Regions from separate parts of the Mus musculus genome. Here regions 1, 2, 3, 4, 5 and 6 are each reported to be linked to region 7. The links are microRNA targets in miRTarBase. Many come from high-throughput screens and were not tested one by one. Region 7 holds a microRNA gene; each other region holds the end of a gene's coding sequence. Distances are between the middles of the regions.

The links. The annotated mature microRNA mmu-miR-466e-3p reads UAUACAUACACGCACACAUAAGA and lies in region 7 at 923-945, shown strand. An mRNA with a match to its seed (bases 2 to 7 or 8) in the 3' UTR can be bound and repressed. Matches are read on the target gene's strand: a 7mer-m8 pairs with bases 2 to 8, a 7mer-A1 pairs with bases 2 to 7 and ends in A, and an 8mer does both.
Region 1: the mRNA of Casp8 is a reported target of mmu-miR-466e-3p. Seed matches in the 3' UTR shown: 7mer-m8 at 656-662.
Region 2: the mRNA of Wfdc12 is a reported target of mmu-miR-466e-3p. Seed matches in the 3' UTR shown: 8mer at 2,370-2,377 and 7mer-m8 at 2,365-2,371.
Region 3: the mRNA of Txlnb is a reported target of mmu-miR-466e-3p. Seed matches in the 3' UTR shown: 8mer at 2,131-2,138.
Region 4: miRTarBase lists Slc22a15 as a target of mmu-miR-466e-3p. Seed matches in the 3' UTR shown: 8mer at 2,018-2,025.
Region 5: the mRNA of Lrrc71 is a reported target of mmu-miR-466e-3p. Seed matches in the 3' UTR shown: 8mer at 1,810-1,817.
Region 6: the mRNA of Tdrd1 is a reported target of mmu-miR-466e-3p. Seed matches in the 3' UTR shown: 7mer-m8 at 3,071-3,077.

Annotation. Positions count from the first base shown.
Region 1 is chr1:58,846,358-58,849,426 of GRCm38, forward strand. It overlaps Casp8 (caspase 8), which reads left to right. Exons shown (of 9, transcript NM_009812.2): 9 at 265-1,146. The coding sequence ends at 397. Among named protein-coding and RNA genes, the nearest start is that of Gm28802, 49 kb to the right of the region's middle.
Region 2 is chr2:164,186,977-164,190,060 of GRCm38, forward strand. It overlaps Wfdc12 (WAP four-disulfide core domain 12), which reads right to left. Exons shown (of 3, transcript NM_138684.2): 3 at 2,255-2,707. The coding sequence ends at 2,683. All of the region lies in intron 2 of A730032A03Rik (a long non-coding RNA gene), which reads left to right. Among named protein-coding and RNA genes, the nearest start is that of Wfdc12, 2.0 kb to the right of the region's middle.
Region 3 is chr10:17,842,964-17,846,039 of GRCm38, reverse strand. It overlaps Txlnb (taxilin beta), which reads right to left. Exons shown (of 10, transcript NM_138628.3): 10 at 377-3,076. The coding sequence ends at 2,560. Among named protein-coding and RNA genes, the nearest start is that of Gm20655, 8.9 kb to the right of the region's middle.
Region 4 is chr3:101,857,860-101,860,940 of GRCm38, reverse strand. It overlaps Slc22a15 (solute carrier family 22 (organic anion/cation transporter), member 15), which reads left to right. Exons shown (of 12, transcript NM_001039371.2): 11 at 1-140; 12 at 422-3,081. The coding sequence ends at 502. Among named protein-coding and RNA genes, the nearest start is that of Mab21l3, 23 kb to the right of the region's middle.
Region 5 is chr3:87,736,636-87,739,719 of GRCm38, reverse strand. It overlaps Lrrc71 (leucine rich repeat containing 71), which reads left to right. Exons shown (of 15, transcript NM_028971.1): 14 at 250-371; 15 at 535-2,797. The coding sequence ends at 645. It overlaps Arhgef11 (Rho guanine nucleotide exchange factor (GEF) 11), which reads right to left. Exons shown (of 40, transcript NM_001003912.2): 40 at 1,681-2,676. The coding sequence ends at 2,618. Among named protein-coding and RNA genes, the nearest start is that of Lrrc71, 10 kb to the left of the region's middle.
Region 6 is chr19:56,866,091-56,869,174 of GRCm38, forward strand. Tdrd1 (tudor domain containing 1) reads left to right here. Exons shown (of 26, transcript NM_001002238.2): 24 at 335-381; 25 at 460-552; 26 at 2,613-3,084. The coding sequence ends at 552. Among named protein-coding and RNA genes, the nearest start is that of Vwa2, 6.8 kb to the right of the region's middle.
Region 7 is chr2:10,490,467-10,493,550 of GRCm38, forward strand. Gm25285 (predicted gene, 25285) reads left to right here and starts at 870; the gene lies at 870-959. All of the region lies in intron 10 of Sfmbt2 (Scm-like with four mbt domains 2), which reads left to right. It overlaps Mir467a-6 (microRNA 467a-6), which reads left to right and starts at 582; the gene lies at 582-664. It overlaps Mir669a-8 (microRNA 669a-8), which reads left to right and starts at 1,100; the gene lies at 1,100-1,186. It also overlaps Mir467a-7.

The DNA.
Region 1 (3,069 bases), not on the chromosome of region 7:
GAGAGGGTGGGCACAGCCAGTGAGACAGTGGGCACTGCCAATGAGACGTGGGTGGCACAGCCAGTGAGACAGTGAGCACAGCCAGAGAGAGGGTGGACACAGCCAGTGAGACAGTGGGCACTACCAGTGAGACAGTGGATATAGCCAGTGAGACAGTGAGCACAGCCAGTGATACGGTGGGCACTGCCAGTGAGACGGTGGGCACAGCCAGTGAGACGGTGGACACTGCCTTGTCCCATATGCTTACGCTGCTTTCTTTTTCAGAGGAGATGACATTCTTAGCATCCTGACTGGCGTGAACTATGACGTGAGCAATAAAGACGACAGGAGGAACAAGGGAAAGCAGATGCCACAGCCCACCTTCACACTACGGAAGAAGCTCTTCTTCCCTCCCTAATGATGTGTGCTCTCCACAGTTCACATGGCTTATCTGTGCACTTTTGTGTGGATGAGTCTAATTTATTTTTTAGAATTTCTTTTGCTTTTGAATTTACATTTACATAATTTTCCCTTTTCTTCCCTTTAAACCCTTCTTTGTTATGTTCCAATTTCAAATACATGGCCTCTTTTCTCATTAACTGTTGTACACACACATACATACACACACACACACACACACACACATTTCTAAATATAACCTGTATACTATCACTTGTATGTATGTTTTGTTTTGCTTTTTTTAAAAAATGGAGCGACCTTTGGTAGGCCAATCACACTCCAAGGCAGGTCCCTCTCCCAAGAATAGTTGGGCAATACAAATTGGCTTCCATGGGTTCACCTTTAATCTCAGCACTCTGGAGACAGAGGCAGGAGGATCTCTGAGTTCAAAGCCAACCTGCTCTACATAGCAAGTTCTGAGATAGCCAGGGCTACACAGAGAAAGCTTGTCTTGAAAAAAACAAAAAAGAAAACTTGAAGATGCATGAGTAAGAAAGCAAGACTGGAGCATGAATCTGGTTAACAGAATGGGTGAATGACGGGAGCAGGGACCTGGGGCAAGTTAACAGAGGGGGTGAATGACGGGAGCAGGGACCTGGGGCAAGTTAACTGCTGAAGGTGAGTCAGCAGAATGGGGTGAATATCATCAGCATTCTCTGCATGAAATTCTCAGAGGTAATAATAATATTAAACTTTTTTCTGTGCAGTATATAATTCTTCCAGGTTAGTTTTTCATTAGTCTCTGGGTTTTTTCATGATCAACTGGAAGTCCTTCAGAGTGAGAGCTATTAGGGAGCATGAGGGATAATGGAAAGAAAACGGTCTCTTTGTTTGTGGCGAGAGTTGGTGGGAATTAACTATAAAAACACTTCTGTGGCTAAGTGCGGTTAAGAATTAGCCTTGACCAGGATGAGGAGATAGCTCACTGGTTAAAGAACTTGCCAAGCAAACTCGAGGGCCTGAGTTCAGCTCCCAGGAACCAATGTAAATGGCGATGGGCGATGGGCATGTTGTCCCTCCTATAATTGCTACACTGGGAGGGTGGGGATAAGATTCCTGGTGCAAGCTGTGTAGCCAGACCAGTGGTATCAGAGGACAGCTATAGGTTCAATCGAGAGCCCCTGCCTCCCTGATTATTGTGGAGATTGATTGAGGAAGACTGCATGCATGTGCCTGCCAAAGCATGTGTGTGCTCACACATGTACTTATGCATGTGTGAGCATGCATGCCAGCTCTCCTTACATGTCTAAACATGAGCAAAAGTTAAACTCGCCAATGTTAACATTTCTGTTATATCTTCAATGAATGGGGGGCTGGTGAGGTGGCTCATCGGGTAAGGGAGCTTGCTGCACAGACTGGTAACAAGGTTTGATCCCTGGGACCAAAATGAGAAAAGGAAAGAATTGGCTCCCATAAGTTTTCCTCTGACCTCCAAAGCACACTCTCTCCATACATGCAACGCATGACTGGATAAGTAGATGTAGATAAATTTAAGGAAAATGAGGCCAGTTGTGGTGGACCACACTGAGCACTTGGGATGTAGAGGCAGGAGGGTCTGGAGTGTAAGGTCATCTTCACCTATATAACCAGTTTGAGGCCTTGACCATGGTTTTTTTTTTTTTCCTTAAAAAAAGGAGTAAAAACTATTTTTTGTTAGTTTTTAGATAAATTACAGGTTTTTACTTAATGTACTTATAGTTAATGGTCCATCAGGAAATTCTGTTTTTGTTTATTTTCTAGAAGTATTTATAAAAGTTTTATTTATGTTTTGTAGGATAATAGCATTAAAACAAAACTTATTTTCTAAAAACGTATTTTATTGAGAAAAATTTCATAAATATACAAAAACTAAACGCAATGGCAGCATGGTGAAGCCACGTGCTTACAGCCTCCAACATCAACAGCTGTGCTGTGCTCTGTCCTCCCTGACTGTATCCTCACCTGCCTGCCTTGTCACCTCGCTCGGGGGCACTGACTTGGGTCCACTGAGGTGGAATATTCTTGCATATGAATAGTTTAGAGACCCAAGTGTCTCTAAGGATGAGGTACGTTTTAGATAGCCAAAGCATTTTTAAACATTAAATACCAGTCAGTGTTGGTATTCAAAAATCTCCCAATCTTCTTGCATTCTTACAGTCTGTTTGAATCAGGATCTAGGAAGATCTCTATCTTGAATTTTGTTTGTTTTTCAAATTCCATATTAATATATAGGTTTTTTATGCTTTCATATAGCTTTTTAAAAGAAACTGAGTTGTTTCATGCACTGCTCTTCAGTGTATATTTTATTGAATCTGTACCTATAAACTTTTATATTCCCCTGTTCCCTCCTAAGTAAACTGTCAGTGAGACAAAAGCTGGGTTTTTTTTTTTAAAGAAAAATAGATTTACCTTACTGTTTCTAAGGGATTCTTTTGTTTGTTTTTTATTGTTTCTGTTCGTTTGTTTTACAATTGGCATGTTCACACGTGGGGAACATTCAGTGTCTAGTATTGGCTTACAACATTGCTTAACATTACTCGCCAAAACTTAAAAGCACTTCCACATAAAAACCAGAATTTTTTTAATCATAATGACCCCATGCACCCAAGTGGCAGGCAGTCCAATGAGTCTAAGAAGTGCCATGGTCAGAAA
Region 2 (3,084 bases), 150 Mb from region 7:
GTTGTAAGAGTTACAGCTACATTATGTTTAAGCGACTTCTGGTATCCATGAATTTTACTAATTTACATTGTTACCTCTTACATCACAGTCTTTCACTGCCCCATATGAACTCGATTATTTTGTTAAGTTGGGAAAAAAACCCAACTCATTGTTTGCTATAACATTTTTTATCACCATTCCAAAAACATACAGGAGAACAGTAACCCTTTTTATGAAACTCTGTGCATTCCAAACTCAACAGGAACATCTTACATTTCTTCTTGTGTACATCCAAACTATTATTTTTTTGAAATTTAAAATTTCAAGTCAACCCAACACATCATAGATATTTCAGTATGGGTCTCTAAGATATGATCATTTAGGTTGAGTGTGGTGATGCACTCCTACATTCCCAGCACCCAGGGTGTGCAGCTAGCAGGATCCAAGTTCCAGGTTAGCCTGGACTACATCGCAAAACCCTCTATCAACTCTGAAAGAAAGGGGAGAACTGAATTTGTCATTGTCACACCTAATCATCTGCCTCTGTGTTTGCTTTTTGTTGTTGTTGTTGTTTTTGAGACAGGGTTTCTCTGTGTTGCCCCGGCTGTCCTGGAACTCACTCTGTAGACCAGGCTGGCCTCGAACTCAGAAATCCGCCTGTCTCTGCCTCCTGAGTGCTGGGGTTAAAGGTGTGCACCACCATGCCCGGCTGTGTTTGCTTTCTATTTTCCTTATTGTTCTAAAAATGACTTTGTGGGGCTGGAGTGATGGTTCAGCAGTTAAGAGCTCATACTGCCCTTGCAGAGGACTCTAGTTTGCCATCCTCCATGCTGGGTGGTTTATAACCTCTTTAACTCCAGACCAAGAAGATCTGATACCCTCTTCTATCCTTTCTGGGTATCTGCACTTACAGGCACACACCTCTACACAGACACATAGACATGCACATGATTAAAGATACATTTTTTAAATGAGTTCAAGCAGTTTTCAGAACCAAGTCCATACACTGACACTCCCTGCATGGTTGCAACATCCTTAGATTCCTTTATTCCAGAATAAACATTTTAGCTCATTTCTGCCTGCCTCCCATTCTCCCCTTCTGTAATTTCTGCTTGAGCAAACAGATGAATGTCTACTTAGTGTGGCTAGAAGCCCTTCCTTGTGGTATCTTTCAGCTTCCTGCATCACTTGAGGAGGAGTCTATACCTGGCTTACCCATTTTTTTTTTATTTTTATTTTTTTTTATTTTTTTGAGACAGGGTTTCTCTGTATAGCTCTGGCTATCCTGGAATTCACTCTGTAGACCAGGCTGGCATCAAACTCAGAAATCCACCTGCCTCTGCCTCCCTCCCAGTTTACCCATTTTTAATGTTGTTCAGACAAACTGCAGTATTTCAGCCAGAACACCTCAATCCTCTCATCGTAAAGCCATGTTTCTCCACACAAGGACACGTTGTATAGCATGGGATGATGAAATGACACCCTGTAAACAGCAGGAAGCTGTGGATGGCCGGTGCCTGTGGCGACAGCTTAATTGAGATTGCAAATTCTAGAGGGTTTAGATTGTAGTTATATATGAACGATGTTGATCAGGATGGACATCCTTGCCTTGTGAACACTTGGTGTTTGCAGAAAAGCAGGCATATATATGCATTGTATTCTATATGCAATATGTAAGAAATTACACACACACACACACATGCGTGCACACACACGCACATATTTTATATATTCTCTAGTACTTTAATACACAAACAAAATGTATTTAGATCATCTCTCTCATTTCTCCCTCCAAGTCCCCCTGATTCCTCTCCACACTTCCCTCTCAATCCCAATTCCTCTCTCTCTTAAAAATAACCCACTGAATCTAATTAGTGTGCCCATACACCCGTGGGTGTGCAGTACCATCCACTGGGGCACTGGCACCCCACCACGGGCCACACCACTGAGGAACGATGACTCTGCCCCCTCTAGTGGCCGTCAACAGACATGGCTCCTCTACTAAGGGTGACTAGACTGATCTGTGCAGGTCTTGTGCTGGCTACAACAGTTGCTGTGAATTTATGAGTACAGCGGCCCTGTCATGCACAGAAGACATTATCTGTGCCAATCTTCCAGGCTTTTCCTAGATGTTCTCTGAGCTTGGTGGTGGTGGTGGTTGCTGTGTGATACAGGTGTCTCACTTAGGGATAAATAATTCACAACTCCAGAGTCACTTTGTTTTACCTTTGGCCAGCTGTAAAGGCATATCTTTTTTTAAAAAAATCGTATTATGGACAATTTTATCCTATTTATTCAGATTTGTAAAAAATGTCATATAATAAAGTTTAATAGTTTTTCCAAAAAAATGTATATTTCCAGAATTATTCATGCATGTATATGTACATACATATACATACACACACAAACACACAAACAAACATACACACACACACACACACATACACACACACATAATATTGAACAAGGATTTTTTTTTAAACTATTAAGTTGTATTAGTCTATTTGGACCACTGTAACAAATTACCATAGACTGAATGGCCTATAAACAACATTTATTTCTCAGAGTTCTGGAGGTTGGGGAGTCCAAGATCAAGGTGCCCAGAGATCCAGTATCTGGAAAGGCCTGGTTTCTGGTCTTTGTATCTTCTTGCTGTGTCCTTCCACGGTGGAAGCAGTCCTCTGAGGCCATTTTTATGAGATATCACACCTTACTCTGAGGGATCTGTCTACAAAAGAGGAGGAGAACCCGCTGAAGAGGGATGCTCACACTGGGGACAGGCTGGATGGATAGGCTGTTCCTTCTTTTGCACACAAGGACTCGGAGACCAGGTTGCCCACGGGCTGCCCGTTTCTCCCATACTTTAAGCCTGTGGACCCCCGGGGCAGGTGCTAGGTGACAGCAAGTTTAGAGGAGGAAAGGACAGAGTGGGACTTGTGTGAGCAGTCCTGGGAGGAGGGAAAGCCCAGGGGCTTTCACCTGATTCTGCTTGGTTGACATCCCTGTCACGCCTTCCCCTTTGTACAAAGGAGACGGTCAAGGCCTCTGGTCTCTGAGATCCCATAAGCTCACCCCAGTCTCTCTGCCCCTTGACTCCAAGAATCG
Region 3 (3,076 bases), not on the chromosome of region 7:
GCAACCCTATAGGAAGAACAACAATATCAACCAACCAGACCCCCCCCCCCCAGATCTCCCAGGGACTAAGCCATCAACAAAGGAGTCCACATGGTTCCAGCTGCATATGTAGCAGAGGTTGGCCTTGTCATGAATCAATGGGAGGAGAGGTCCTTGGTCTTATGAAGGCTCAATAGATGCCCCAGTATAGGGGAAATGAGAGCAGGGAGGTGGAGTGGGTGGGTGGATGGAGGAACACCCTCATAGAAGCAGTGGGAGAGAGGATGTGATAGATTGTTTCTGGGAGAGAGGGAAACCAGGAAAGGGGATAACATTTGAAATGTAAATAAAGAAAATATCCAATAAAAAATAATTTAAAAAACCTACTAGAAAACTTGGAAGAAATGCCTTTTTAATTGGTATAAACATTATGTTATTACATTTAGAAAGCAATAATTCCAGTGTTTCTAGAAAGACTTGGCATCTCTAAAAATAGTTATATGAACTTCATAAAAAGAGATATATTTTCTGCTTTCAGATCTTATGAGTTGTTATGATTAGTACAGCCAAGTTTGAACACAAGGAACTATAATAAAACATTCTTTTACTATTAAAATAATTCTCCCAAAGTCTATATTAAAGCTTTACAGATTTCAGGGAAGGTGTAGTCTGTGAAACTGTGCCAAAGGTACACACAGTTGTGAGTGATATGTTGCTGTGAAACCCTCTTGGATGAAAATAATAAACTTTGGATATGAGAACACTTAATTTATTGGATGTCAGTGCCTCCTGCCTGTTTGTCTTCCTAAGCTCTTGGATTGAGACCTAACTGTGATGATCCTACTCTGTTCTTTGAAGCTCAGCTCCTGTAAACAGAGAGAAGGGATTAGTGTAGTGAATATTTGGCTTTGAGTTAATTGAATGTCTAATTTCCAGTGGTGTTGAACTTGGCTGGATACCCGTGTGGTTATAATATGCAAAGCCTCTGAAAACACATGGGTTCTCAAATAATGGCATGCTTTTTCCCCTGATTTTTTCCCCAAATGGTATTTTTGTTCTTTCCCTTACTGTCTACTTCAAATAAATTTTATACAGTTTTATAATTCCTTCAACATATGGCTACTGCCTCCCAGCTCCTCGTGTGCATTGGCAAGCAGCCACGTGCACCACTGAAGAGTGATTTCCTGGATGAGTTTTCAAGAATCCTCCTTTATCCACATTTCTACCTGTGTTCAACTTCTTAACATAGAGTTAGATTAGACCGTCCTCTCTTTATGCACCTTCTGTCTCCCTCCTTCCCACCTCTCCCTGTTCTGTTAGTACAGTTTTCTTTGAGCCTAGGCAGAGCATTTTATGCTGCCAGTGTTATTAGAGGTTTTTGCGAACAATGAGAGTATAAAACTTGTTTGGGTAATCCCAAGTGCTTCTTGCTTTTGACATCTATGGAGTCCTTGCCTGTTATTTTTGAATTATGAGTAGGAGGCCCCCCCCCCCTTTTAAAAATTTTGTACTTCTGCCTGTTCAAAAATTCTTAGAGCAGAAAATGTGTTAGCTTTGTAAGCCTTGTTACTCCTATTGAGAGCTCGTATGTATTTCCGTTTTGGAAAAATACATTTTACTTAACATTAATTGAGATGTGGGCCAGGCACACACATTGACGCAAAGGAGGAAATTTGGAAGGAATAGATGCTTTGAGATAAAGACAATGTCAGAGACAACAAAAAGTGTTTTCTTGAGATATCAGTAGTCAAAGAGGCTGAGACCTCTAAGCTGAGGATACTCAACCTCTCAAATCTTACTTAGGTGCTTTCTCTATTTCCAACCACCTTCTCACAGGTAGCCAGGAGGCGGCTGCCTCAACCCAGGAGGTGATGCTGGGAAGTTGGGAGGAAGTTGGCTGAGAAGATCAGAAGCACCTGTTTGTGTTTTTTCCCCTTTCTGTTAAAAGCCTCTTGTGGTCCTCTTTGTGTCCAGGCATTGTAGCACATGTGCTATTTCTGATCCATAGAGCTTTAATCTACTGTAGTCCAGAGTGTAAGTAAGATAGAAAAATTTTTACAAGCATATCTTGCAATAGAGAAAAATCTGTTAGGAGCAAAATATACTTGTGTGATGACTTTATATGCACGTATGAAAATACATGTGTATGTGTATACATAAATGTATTTATGTGTATTGTGTATACACATAAGTACACTGTATATTATGCTATTTAAATGGAACCTGGATATCCATTATAGATCTTATTGGGTTATTTGTGGAAATAAATGTAATATTTCAGTGTATTTATTTGTTATAGTGGGAGTCCTTAAATACAAAATCTTACTGCTAACAAACTGGATTAAGGCACCAATGTAATGGGAAAGTAATGTATATTTGCTATTGATGTGTTTGGCTGCCAAATCACAGAGAATTTCCATATTAGTTATAAATTGCAAACAGCAGCAAAGACTGGAAGTGTTCTGTACAACTTTAAAAATGTCTTGACTCTAACTCTTCCTAGTCCTAGAAGTTTCTTTCACAGACTTTCTTCTGTGAGGAAGATGCAGTCAGGTGAGCAGCCAGAAGAATCAACAAGGCTTAGTCTACTCCATTCAGACAAGCATCGGGCTCTCTGGGGAGTCCAGTGGAAGGGCCTACGGGGATGTCTGTGACTTCTGGTGGGGGCTGCTCCCTAGACTCACAGCCGGGCACCACAGCAGAATCTCCCTCACTCTCTGGAGATGGTGAAATATCATATTTTGCCTCTACTACAGATAGGGAGCCCTGGGCTGGGGACAGTGGGGCCTGACCAGAAGTGTTTGCCTCTGGTTTATGGGGCTTCGGACCCGGGGTATTTTCTGCAGGGAGACCCTGACTTTGTAGCTCTGCCTCTGCAGGGGTACAGGAGGCTGTAGGGGCAGGTGTGGCCTCACAGACGCCCTCCGCCACAGCCTGAGCACCTACAGGGGGCCGAGGACTCCCTGAATCAGCGGGAAGGCTGGGATGGTTTAAACGGGCTGTTTCGGGGTGCTGGTGGGTGACATCACTTCCACTTTGAGGACCATTCACTGCCAGCTGTCTTTCCGTTGGTTGGTCTGGGGTGAACTCTGGATGA
Region 4 (3,081 bases), not on the chromosome of region 7:
TGACCTCAGGCCTCCTGAGCCTGCTATTGCCAGAGACTCTGAACAGCCCTTTGCTGGAGACATTTTCTGATCTTCAAATGTACTCATATAGGAGGTTAGGAGAGGAAGCGCTATCTCTACAGACCTTGGATCCTCCACAGGTATAGAGACACATGCTGTAACCATCTAGGTGCCCTTGGGTTTGATCCCCAGAACCATCTAAACCTGAGTGTGGTGGTACACCCCTGTAAACCTAGCACTAGAGAGGTAGAGACAGGAAGATCAGAAGGTGATCTCAGCTACTTAGAAAATTGGAAGCTAACTTGGTCTGCATGGGTCCCTGTCTCAAAACAACAGCAAAATTGCACTGTGAGTGCCTGGGTGGTAATTCTCATTAAGGCCTGTCATGATCACTTCTACAAGATCTCCTTTGCCATTGCAGCCCCTGGACAAGGTCAGCAGTGAGAGTGAGGAGGAGGAAGAGTTCTATGATGCAGATGAGGAGACCCAGATGATCAAGTGAAGAGCCCGCATTCCTGCCCAGAAGCAGAGCCCCATCATCCTTAGTGCCTCAGCTTCAGCACCAGAGATGTATTCAGCCCACACTGACGCTTTCCAGATGGGAGAGGCGGTGGAGGAGAGATTCCAAAAGGGAGAACTTGCTGCGTTGAGGGAGTCATTGCTGACTTGTTCGGGACTGGGGCTGAGCTCAGCACCACGCCTCTGGCTGCACAGCTCAGATCCACCTTGTAGGACTGGTGCCTCATGCTGCTACCCTTCCTCGGGACCTAAGAGCAGGTGTGTGAAACTGCTCGCACTTTAACTAGGGTTAGCCAGACCTTCCCCGAGATGTCATCTTCCTAGCAAGCATCCCTGTCACTTGCTTCTCCCCCACCAGGAATCTTCTGGTGCAGGTTGATGTGTACAGAGCTCCCAGCTTCCCATCAGCTCATTGGCTGGTTCCCAGCTCATTGGTTGCTGGTGCAGCTTGTGCCTTTAGTCTGTGCTCATTCACTAATAAAGGGCAGAATTAGCGGAGCATTTCTCATCAGAGGGCTGGCTGTGGCAGGGAAGCTCCCTTTGACGCTTGCGTCATGCGATTTTTTTCCCCCACTTGGATGCATTTGGGGACTGTTTTTCTTTGTGAGATTCTAGCATCAGCAATAACTTCAAAATCATGCCCAGCCAACGAGGAAACTTTACAGACTGAGGGTGGCGAGCAAGTGACACGCTAAGCACTTTGTAAATGACTTAAGAGGGGAGAGTCTCTCACAGTGTCGTCAGTGTGCAACAAGGGACATGCACAGCACACCAGGGCTGGACTCTGCCCTGCATCAGCCTCTACTGGTTATTTAAAAGGCAGGGTGGAGGGTTTTTTGTTTTTTAAGAAAATGGTGGGTTTTCATTGAGTGCTTCCGTGGATTTCCAAATGAATCATAACCTGTCTCTCACAAAACTTGAACACTCTCAAATGGCATATAAGCCAGGAGTCCACATGTGGGCAATCGATCAATCGATCACGCCCCGACCAGGGAAACGGCTGTGTGTTTAGGATTTCTGTGTCTGCTAATCTCTTGGGAGTAGAAAGCACACAGAGTAGAAAGGTGCTCTGTAGATGCCCCTGGAAACTGTGCAAGCCTGCATTCTTTGCCTCCAGCTATGTTCCTGGACTCCTCTGTGTTGTCTGGGCTTTTACTGTACTGGTCTGTTCCACTGTTAAATAATTTTTCCTTTGTGCCCTTGGGTATGGAGGAGCTGTTTCTACCAGTATGAGGAACATGCCTGGCCGGGATGCTGTGAAGACCCCATAGGTGATCCTGTGTCTAGCTGTCAGAAAGATTATAGAACTCCCTGCGACATCATATCCGCAAATTCCAGTAAAGGGTGTCCCACACTCCAAAGCACGAAGTCCTGCTGCTCTCCTCTCTGGGAAATGGAGGTCAGCTCTCCTTAGGAGAGGAAGAAAAGGACTTCCAGAAACTCTTGATTCTTGTCAAATAAAGTATTTAAAATAAAGCAGTAAATTTATATATATATATATGTATATATATATAAATTTTATATATATATATATATAAATGTTATTGAACTCTTTTTATATAATGTAACCTGTAGGAGTATTATTTTTAATATATCCCTACACAAGGTTGTTTCCCACCTCAATGGTTTTTGTTCCCAAATGAAAGACACACACACAACCTTTATATTTTAATATGCTTTAAGGAGCACAATAGCTGGTCAACTGCCTACCCTCCATGGTGTTAGACTCTACCTCCCACCGATAATTCCAAGTTACTACTTACTAGTTCCTATGTTCCATCTTGGCTGCCCCTGACCTTTACACGGTAGCTCTGCCTCTCTGGCCCTCACTCTCAGGCAGTGCTGCTCTGCTCTTCCTCCTCCTCCAGGTCCCAAGCCCTGGAAACCCCAATCCTCTTTCTTGTCTCCCCAACTATTAGCTGCTGGCATCTTTAATTACCAATCACAGTTAACTGGGGGCAGGTCCCCAGAAGCTACATGCAGACCCTCTTGTGCAAACAGTTTTGAGGGGATACAGTTAATATAGAATACAAAGAGCTACAATAACCCATCAGAGAAAATTTGGTACTAGAAGTTAGAAAGTGCATCCGTCAGTCTAGCTGCAGAAGAAGCAGGGCCATGGCTTTTTATTCATTCCCTGCTGCTGCTGAAGTTCCTGCCGCTTCTGGCTAAGCAAGTGAACTCCAGGTAATTCCCAGCCTAGAGGTAGAAGGACAGACCACAGGGTGAATTACGTGGCAAGTAATAAGGCCCGGTTGGCTGTCAGCTGCTCTTGTTGGATAAATTATTACATTTTTCTTCTCCCTGGGTAGTCCTCTAAGCACAGTTTAATAATTATTTCTCTGCCTTTGTAAAGATGAATTTTATTCCCTATGATGGCTGCTAATGAGTATTGATGGTACAAAGCCACAGAAGTCTTACTTGGTAGGTAGCCTATTTTGCTTGTACAGATAGTCTGTTAAAAGCATCTTTAAAGAAACAGTAAGGATGTCTGAAAAGTCATAAGGTATCATACTACTAACTACCTAAAATACCTAAATACATGGAAATCAATGAATAAAT
Region 5 (3,084 bases), not on the chromosome of region 7:
GCACCATCTTGTCAGACCCATGGAGCTGGGGCTGGGGCTGGGGCAGAAGTGCTGGGTCAGGGAGGTGATCCAGGGCAGTAGTGACATGGATAAGATAGCTAGGTGGGGGAGAGGCATCAGCAGGGTAAAGGGAAGTGAAGGGTAGTGAGAAGAGGGCTAGTTAAAGTCAGCTCTGCCTGTTGAATTTGGAAGTGGAGGGGAGGCAGGCTGCCAGTGATGTCAGATGCTACTGTCTGTGCTTCCCCTTAGGAAACCAAATCACAGAGGTGGGGCTGGAAGGCTTCCTCACTGCTGTGCAATACCAGGTTCAGGTCTCCAAGCCCAAGACTTCACCCAAGGCCCCCCTGGGTCTGCTGTGGCTGTCCTTGGCGGTAGGTCTCCTTGCCCCAGTTCTTTGTTTGTTTCCTGCAATTAGCAGTGCTGGGATTGCCCCCCCCCCCCCCCCCCCCCGTTCAACAGCCCTAAAACTGTCCCGGGCATTGTTCTTTCCTGGAGACAAATCTTTATCCTGGCAACTTTTTTTTTTTCTTTCAGAAAAACTGCTTTGACCCACAGTGTCCAACACACGTCATGATTCAAGAACTGATGTTGCCAAGGGACCCTGTGAAGGCCAAGGCCAGGGAGGAGGAGGCTGCAGCTACCTAGGTCTCCTACAGGCAGCCTGTCTCCCTGGGAGGTAGCTTGGACCAGTAACATAGTCTCTTGCTGTGCTGTTCCTTGAAAATCACTCCATACCTGTTTGGAACGTTTAGGTTCTTAAGTCTGTTCATATTCCCTGGCTAGACAGGGCCGAATGTTGGCCTGAATCACACCATGGTTCCATTGGGGGATGAGCTGAGCTCCTGGCTAGGGCCATTGCTCTGAGAGTCCCAGCAGCATCCTCCGGGCCATCTCTGTCAGCATGCACAGCACTAGGATGATGGGGGTTGGTTAGCACAATGACGGAGGGAGCGGGCTTGGAACCCAGCCTTCTCTGATGCTATCTCCATGTGTTTGTCTGGTTTTCCAGAGGCCAGGGCTCTGCTTTAAAAGATGAGGGCACTCTGGAGAGGGTACTGTATCCAATTTGCATAACAAAGGCCAAACCTTAGACACACGTACACACGGCAGGCAGGTCAGCAACTAGAAATCATGGACATCCAGAGCAGGGCTGCCTCTGCTGAGGGTTCTGGAGAGCCCATGCCAACCTCCAGGGAATCTCCAACCAAGGTAACTCTCCCTCATCTCTAGCCCCTCCTCTACCTTCCAGAGCTCCAGCCCCGGCTGGCAAGTGGCTCTGGGGATCTCTCCGGCTGCTCTGAGTCTCAGTCACTGTGTTAAGGTGCACCATGGCTTTTCCAGTTATGTCCCAGGTCCTCTAAGGCATGGCTCAGCTGCCATGGCTCTTCCTGGTCTGTGGGAAGGAGGGCAGTGTGGTAACCCTCTTCATGGTTTGCATCTGAGAGTAGGTCACAGCAGCCCTGTTCCTTCGTGTGACGTAACCACAATGTCCTTTTCTGGGCCAGAGCCAGTTGTCCAACCTCTGCTGAGAAGGTCTACACACCGGCACTTTGGGACAGGTGGAAAGACCTGGTGCAGGATGGCTGTGGCAGGGGCTTTCTTGTCTCCCTCTACCCATTTTTGACCGGTCACACCGGCAGCCTCACACCCTCTATCAGGCTAAGAATCATACAACCACAATGGAAGAATATTTAACTTTTCTTTAAAAAAATCTTAACCATGAAAGGAAGAAAATAAGAGTATACATTATTTTAACAGTAAAACAGTCATTTCCATATCTATATTTTATATATTATATATATTTATATATATGTATATATACACCTAGCACAGTGTGTATGTTCATTGTAGGGAGTGGCGTGAGGACAGGGTGATGAGCCAACGGTGCTGTGGCCCCTGGGGAAGGAAGGGCCCTGACTTAACTCAGGGACTCCAGCAATCCACTCCACATCTCTCTTGAGAGTCTGTGTTGAGATCCGTACCTGGTGTATTGTTTCTATGGGGCAAGTGGGGAAGGGCTGGGTAAGACACTCCCTGCAGGAGCATTTCCTGACACTGAGAAGGCCTAGGCTTCAGAGGTGGGCAGGCCCTGGAGCTTGACAGCACTGGAATCTGGGAGACCTCCCTGCCAGTGGGACATAAACAATCATGGCCCTGTGCGGGGCTGCTGCCTGGCTCTCTGTGACTGGTTGAACATGCCAGGGACAGAATAAAAGGCTAAGTTATTTACAATGGCAAAGATACACATACAATAGACATATTTATAGGAAACTAAAGGGCAAAGAGGAGAGCCAGGCATCTAGCTGTCTCGGGGCCTAGGAAGAAGAGGAGGAAGAAAGTGCATTTATACATAAGCCTCCTCAAGGGCACTGTGCACATAGCACACCCCACACTGGCTATGTGGGGTGGAGGCCTTTCTATTGTGGTCAGCATGCTTAGGAGACGAAAGCCACGGAGACTTGGGCTAACAGGAGGAAGAGACACTAAACTGGACTGTCTGGTGGGAACAGACCAGGCAACATGAGGGATTCCCAGGCCTCACAGTATCTTTCACGGGGAGGCTCGGATCTCCTAATGTGGCGCTCTGGCTCAGGCCAGACTCTGGTTGTCTGGATGGCTATGGTCCTGGTGACGAAGCTGTGTCTGTGGCACTGTCTTCCAGGGGGGTGTCGGAGCCTGTGGGAAGATGGTGAGGGTGAGACGCTGGCTACATTTGAGAGGTTCTCTTTCATGTCCCTGGCTGATTCTTGAGTGCCAGCTGTGACAAAGCTTATATGTAATAGAGTGTGTGGAAGCTAGACAACTTGTTGGAGTCGGTTCTCTCCTTCCATGTGAATCCTGGGGCTCGAACTCAGATGGTCAGGCTTGGTGAGCCATCTTGTCAGTCCAAGCCTTGTTTCCTGTGGGACTGCATTTCTTTCCAGGCGCCAAAACCAAGACAGGTTAGGCGTTTTAGCTTTCTGAATTCGGTCCTTGCCCTTATAACCCAGGTCTGAGCCACTAAGAACCTGCTGCAGAGGTAAGGCGGCTTTCCTGGTACATTACTTCCTCAAACCAACATAAATAGAAGGTTCTGGGGGCTGA
Region 6 (3,084 bases), not on the chromosome of region 7:
CACTCCTGTGGCAATTCAGCCTGACCTGACCCAAGGTCAGGGACACTGGTGCTGTGGGAGTCGAGACTGAGAGCTTTGGAATGGTTGCAACTGTGCCTGTGCCTTTCTTCGGGTTCTCTTTGATCTGAGCAACAGGAGAAGTCTTAGAAGACCTAAGACATCATAGAAGACCTAATCTTTAGATGGAGTGCTGGTCTGAGAGTCCAGGACACACACAGCACATGACTGGGTGGGTGATGTCCTGGGGAGTTGACACTTAGACCCCGACACACAGGTGCACGCGGGCTCCCTCACTGCCATGACCTAGGCCTGTTTTGTTTGTTTTTGCTTCTAGAGATACCACACAGCAGAGACTGCTGTTGCACAGAGTTACAGAAACAGGTAGGTGCAGCTCCTACATGAAGCCACACGCTGCCTCACATTGAGAGAGAAATCATACTGTCTCCTTTGCATCCACAGATTGAGAAACACGAACAGATTCTCCTCTTCCTCTTAAACAATCCAACCAACCAAAGTAAATTCACAGAGATGAAAAAGCTGCTGAGAAGCTAAGTAAGTTTCCCGTTTCCCCTTCTGTGATGCACCCGACTCCAGGTGCTTATGTGAAGCCGTTTCTTACTGTTTGATTTGAAATTGCTCACATCGTCAGTATGTGAAGAGACTTGTAAAGATGGTCATGAGGTGAAGCTTAGCCTCACACTGTGTCCAGACTTGACGTCTTCTCAGGCCTCACTGACTCTGTCTGCTGCAGTAGCTTTAGTCCTGAGTCTGGGCAAGGATAGAAGATCGAGGAAGGTAGGCACTCTGTCACCTGTGACACTGGAGCAGGCTGTGCTGTGCCACTGTTCAGAGAGAGTGTGCTGGGCCCATCCCAGTAGTTCCCAACCGTGTCTTACTGTCAGGATCCCCGCAAGAACAGGGGCCATCAGAAAGTAGTCATGGCCAGCAGCCAACTGGAACTTGTGGACAAAATGAGATTACCCCACTTATTCACCCCTGTGTGTGTGCTGGAGGGGTGGGGTTGGTGCAGTGTCAGCCCAGAGCTGGCTCTTCCATGCTCCTGCAGCAGCTCCTGGGATTCCCTGGGCTGTCGCTCCTCTGGAACAGCAGTGCTGACTGAGTGCGCACCTCTGCTGAGTTTGTCCCTAAGGAAGCTAGCACCTAAGCTGACACCCTGAGCAACAGTTCCTTCCCATTGTCGTGCCTTAGCATCTCTATACTTGATTTCTGTTTTGTGTGCTTGAGCTTAAGATCTTGAATTTAATGAAGATTTTAACTAGACCGACTGAAGAGCCTGCAATGACACAGGCTTCTGGGATTAGCCCAGCTAATTAATCATTTGTACTTTGGTCTATTCATCTGTGTAGTGAACTCTCCTCAGAGAGATACTGAGAGTGCTCATATAATTTAAGATAAGGCTGCCATTTTCAATTGTTTCTAGAAAATTAGAAAGCCTAGAACGGTAAATGTTTGAATTTAAAACATAACACACGCTAGTTTCCCCCACACAGCACTGTGTACGGGGCTGGGCCTCACATTGCACAGTCCTCACAGCATCCTTGAAGCAGAAGTGCAGGGCAAGGTGTGTGCTGTCACAATCCCAGCACTGGGAAGTGGAGACTGTGGCTCAGCAACTGCTGGCCTAACTTGCTCGTCAGTTCCAGGCCATTGAGAGACTCATGTTGCATAGTAAAACGGGAGGTGGGAACAATCTGAGGAAGAATGGCACACACCTGTGGGCAGAGCTGAGTGCACCTTGCTCCCTATCCATATACTACACACATTTGTAGCTCCCTGCCCCCACCCCCACATGTAGTAGAATGACCTTATTGTCTGATGAGGAAGCAGAGGCTCACGGTGTCCATGCAGGCTCTTGGTGTGCACCCCACACCTCACCCCCTCTTGCAGGCTGGAGCTTACAGCTGACAGGGGAGGAGCTGTCCCAGCTTCTGGGTATGCCCTGGGCTACAGCCTCTTTCTCGGTTAGTCTGGACCTGCAGGGCATGGAATGAGGAGATAACATAGGTACTCAGGCATTCTCTTCTCATTTGGGAGGAAAATAAAACTGGATATTTATTCTCACCTTACTTAATCTACTTCCAGATATATGTGTTCCAAATGTTAAGGCTTTTATAACTACTGTGTTGTGTGGTTTTCGTTAGTAGTTATCAGCCAGGTATTAGTCAGCCTGCAGTGCTGTCTTGGGGATTTGAGGCGTGTGAGATGTGGAGTTAAGATAGCTTGGTCTAATAAGACCCTGTCTAAAACCATATGTACATAACAAAGGTGTTGCTGCATTATAAATTTTGTAAATAGAGGTGCTAACATTGTTCTTAAAGGGATGACTAGATAAGTTAAAATGAAACTTGTTTTTATATTTGGAAAGAGCTACAATAGCTGCATTTTATATTTGTAGAGAATATAATTCACTCTGATTAATGCCAGTATCGATAAAAATTAAGCACTGTTATGATGCTGTTTAATTTTTCTCTGCCACGTATAATCTGAATGTGTGTAATTTAGTTTATCTGGCTTGCCTGTACTTAGAACTGAAGTTAAGGGCCATAGTGATTCTGTGTAAACCATAATGATGGCTGGTTTTTCTCTTTCAGAAACATCATCTCTTGGAAATAAACACTGGGAAGAAAGAGACAGCAAACGCCAGACCTGAGAAAGAATTGTGTGTGTGTTTTGTTCACTAGAATTGCTGCTTCCTCCTCTTTCCTTAGTGACTTTTAGCCTCTCCGCTGTGCTTGCTTACTTTGTTCTGTCGGGTTTGCTGCCCTCTCCCCGATTCTTTCCACGAAATACATGAATCTTACAGAAGAGATTCATGTATGAGCTAGGCGCGGTGGTGCACACCTGTAATCCCAGCCATGAGCAGCATGAGGCAAGACCTCAGGCTCAAAGCCAGCAAGGGCCTAGTTAGATGCTTTCTCATCACAAACAAAACCAAAAGGACATCAAGATTCAAAATGTATGAGACGACTAGGAAAGACTATGAGGTACCTTCTGCTAAGAGTGTGTGTGTGTGTGTGTGTGTGTGTGTGTGTATGTGTGTGTGTGTGTGTATGTATTTGCTCT
Region 7 (3,084 bases):
TATATATATATATATATATATATATATATATATATATATACACACCCACACAACTAGGGACACATACATGTGCACACATACACACATGGCAGTCATCCATTTGATTTATACGTGCTTATAATTTCATTGAGTGTATATTCATGGTATAGGGAATAATCTCACTTATCAGATGAAAACCACTTGCCAGAGTTAGGAGTCTCAGGAGTTCAAATTCATGCTTAACTTCATAATGAGTTAGAGATCACCCTGTATTTGTGTGATGGATCCTAGGTATGCACAAGTGCATATAATTGTGTGTGCACGTACATGTGTGTATATGATCATACATATAAATACACACACATACAAATGTATTCACACACACAGGCGTGCACACTCACACACATAAGAATGACACTCATTGATCCATTTGAATGATATATGTCTTAGAATTTTGCTGATTATAAAGTAGAGGGACAGTGAAGGTCTCACTCACCAGGTGTAAATAATTGGCAGTGTCAGGAGGATCAGGAGTTCAATTTCATGCTTAACTTCATGAGCAGTTAGAGATCATCCTGGAATAATGTGATGGCCCCTATGTATGTGCCCGTGTGCGTAAGTGCCTGCATGTATATGCGTGTATATTTTATGCATATACATACACACACCTACACACACATGCACACAGACATGCGGAAATGGCCTTCACGGATCCATTTGAATGATATGTGACCTACTGCTTTGGAGGTTATGTATGACTGGGCCAGGGTGAGGTCTCACAAACCACGGGAAAACCCTTGGTAGAGTCGGGAAGATCAGGAGTGCAAGTTCATAGTAAAGGCATGATGAGTTAGAGGTCATCCTGGCATTCATGTGATTGCCCCTACGTATGTGTATATGTGTTGATGTGTGTGTGCATGTACATATGTGAATATGATATACATATACATACACGCACACATAAGACACATATGAGCACACAGACACAGGGGAATGGCACTCGTCAATCCATTTGAATGATAAGTGACTTAGAGTGAAAATGCTTGCTAGAGTTAAGAGTATCAGGAGTTCAAATTTACACTTATCCTCATGAGAGATCAGCCTGTGATTCCTCCATGTATGTGCATGTGTGTATAGTTGTGTGTGCATGTTCATGTCTATATTTGAATATACATAACATACACACACACGTATAAACGCAAGCACACATACACAGACACAGGAATGGCATTCGCCAATCCCTTTGAATGATAAGTGATGTAGAGTTTTAGAGATTATGCAATAGGGGACATTGAATGGACTCACTCACCAGGTGTAAAAGATTGACAAAGTCAGGAGGATAAGGATTGCAAATTCATGCTTAACTTCATTTGGAGATCATCTTGGTATTAATGTCATGCAACCCATGTATGTGCATGTGTGCTTACTTGTATGTGCATTGTATGTGTTGACATGATATACATAACATAAACACACGTGTTTATGCAAGCACACACACACAGGAAAAAATTGCATTCATTTATACGTTTGAATGACATGTGACTCAAAGTTTTCAAGATTATGAAGTAGTGGGACAGTGAATGGTTTTACTCATCAGGTGTGAAAGATTGTGGATCAGGAGTTCTAATTCATGCTTTACTTCATGATGACTTAGAGATATGCCTGGGATTCATGTGATGTCCCCTATGTATCCCTATCTGTATCTGTTTCTATTGTGTGTGGATTTGAGTATATGGATGTACCTATCTACACAAATATGTACATGTACACAGACACAAACAGAAACACACACAAAAACATCAGTGCAACTCATCGATCCATTTGAATGACATGTGACTTAGAGTTTTAAGATTTTTCAGTACTGAATGGGGAGAGGTCTCACTCAGTAGGTGAAATCCCTTGACAGAGTCAGGTGGATCAGGAGTTCAAGTTCGTGCTGAATTTCATGATGAGTTCATGATCAGCATGGGATTCATATTATGCCCACCAAAATGTACATGTGTGTATAGTTGTGTGCATATTCACTTCTCTATATGAATATGCATATACACACATGCACACACATTCATAGGAATGGCCAGAGCTATGTCTCAGTTAGGAGGTGAGCACTCTTGCCAGTGTCAGGAGGATGAGGAGTTCAAATTCATGTTTAACTTCATGATGAGTTAGAGTTCAGCATGCGATTCATGTGATGCCCACCAAGAATGTGCAGGTGTGTATAGTTGTGTACATATTCACTTCTGTATATGAATATGCATATACTCACATGCAAACATACTCCCACGAATGGCCCGTGCTATGACTCAGTTAGGAGGTGAATACTCTTGCCAGCATCATGAGGATGAGCAGTTCAAATTCATGTTTAACTTTATGATGAGTTAGAGATCAGCCCGGAATTCATGTGATTTTCCCTGTGTTTGTGTTTATGTGTATAGGGAAGTATGCCTGTACATGCGCGTATATGAACATGCATATATATATATATATATATATATATATATATATATATATATATATATATATACACCCACACAACTAGGGACACATTCATGTGCACACAAACACACATGGCAGTCATCCATTTGATTTATACGTGCTTAGAGTTTCATTGAGTGTATATTCATGGTATAGGGAATAATGTCACTTATCAGATGAAAACCACTTGCCAGAGTTAAAAGTCTCAGGAGTTCAAATTCATGCTTAACTTCATAATGAGTTAGAGATCACCCTGTATTTGTGTGATGGATCCTAGGTATGCACAAGTGCATATAATTGTGTGTGCACGTACATGTGTGTATATGATCATACATATAAATACACACACATACAAATGTATTCACACACACAGGCATGCACACTCACACACATAAGAATGACACTCATTGATCCATTTGAATGATTTATGTCTTAGAATTTTGCTGATTATAAAGTAGAGGGACAGTGAATATTCTCACTCACCAGGTGTAAACAATTGTCAGTGTCAGGAGGATCAGGAGTTCAATTTCATGCTTAACTTCATGAGCAGTTAGAGATCATCCTGGAATAATGTGATGGCCCCTATGTATGTGCCTGTGTGCGTAAGTGCCTGCATGTATATGCGTGTAT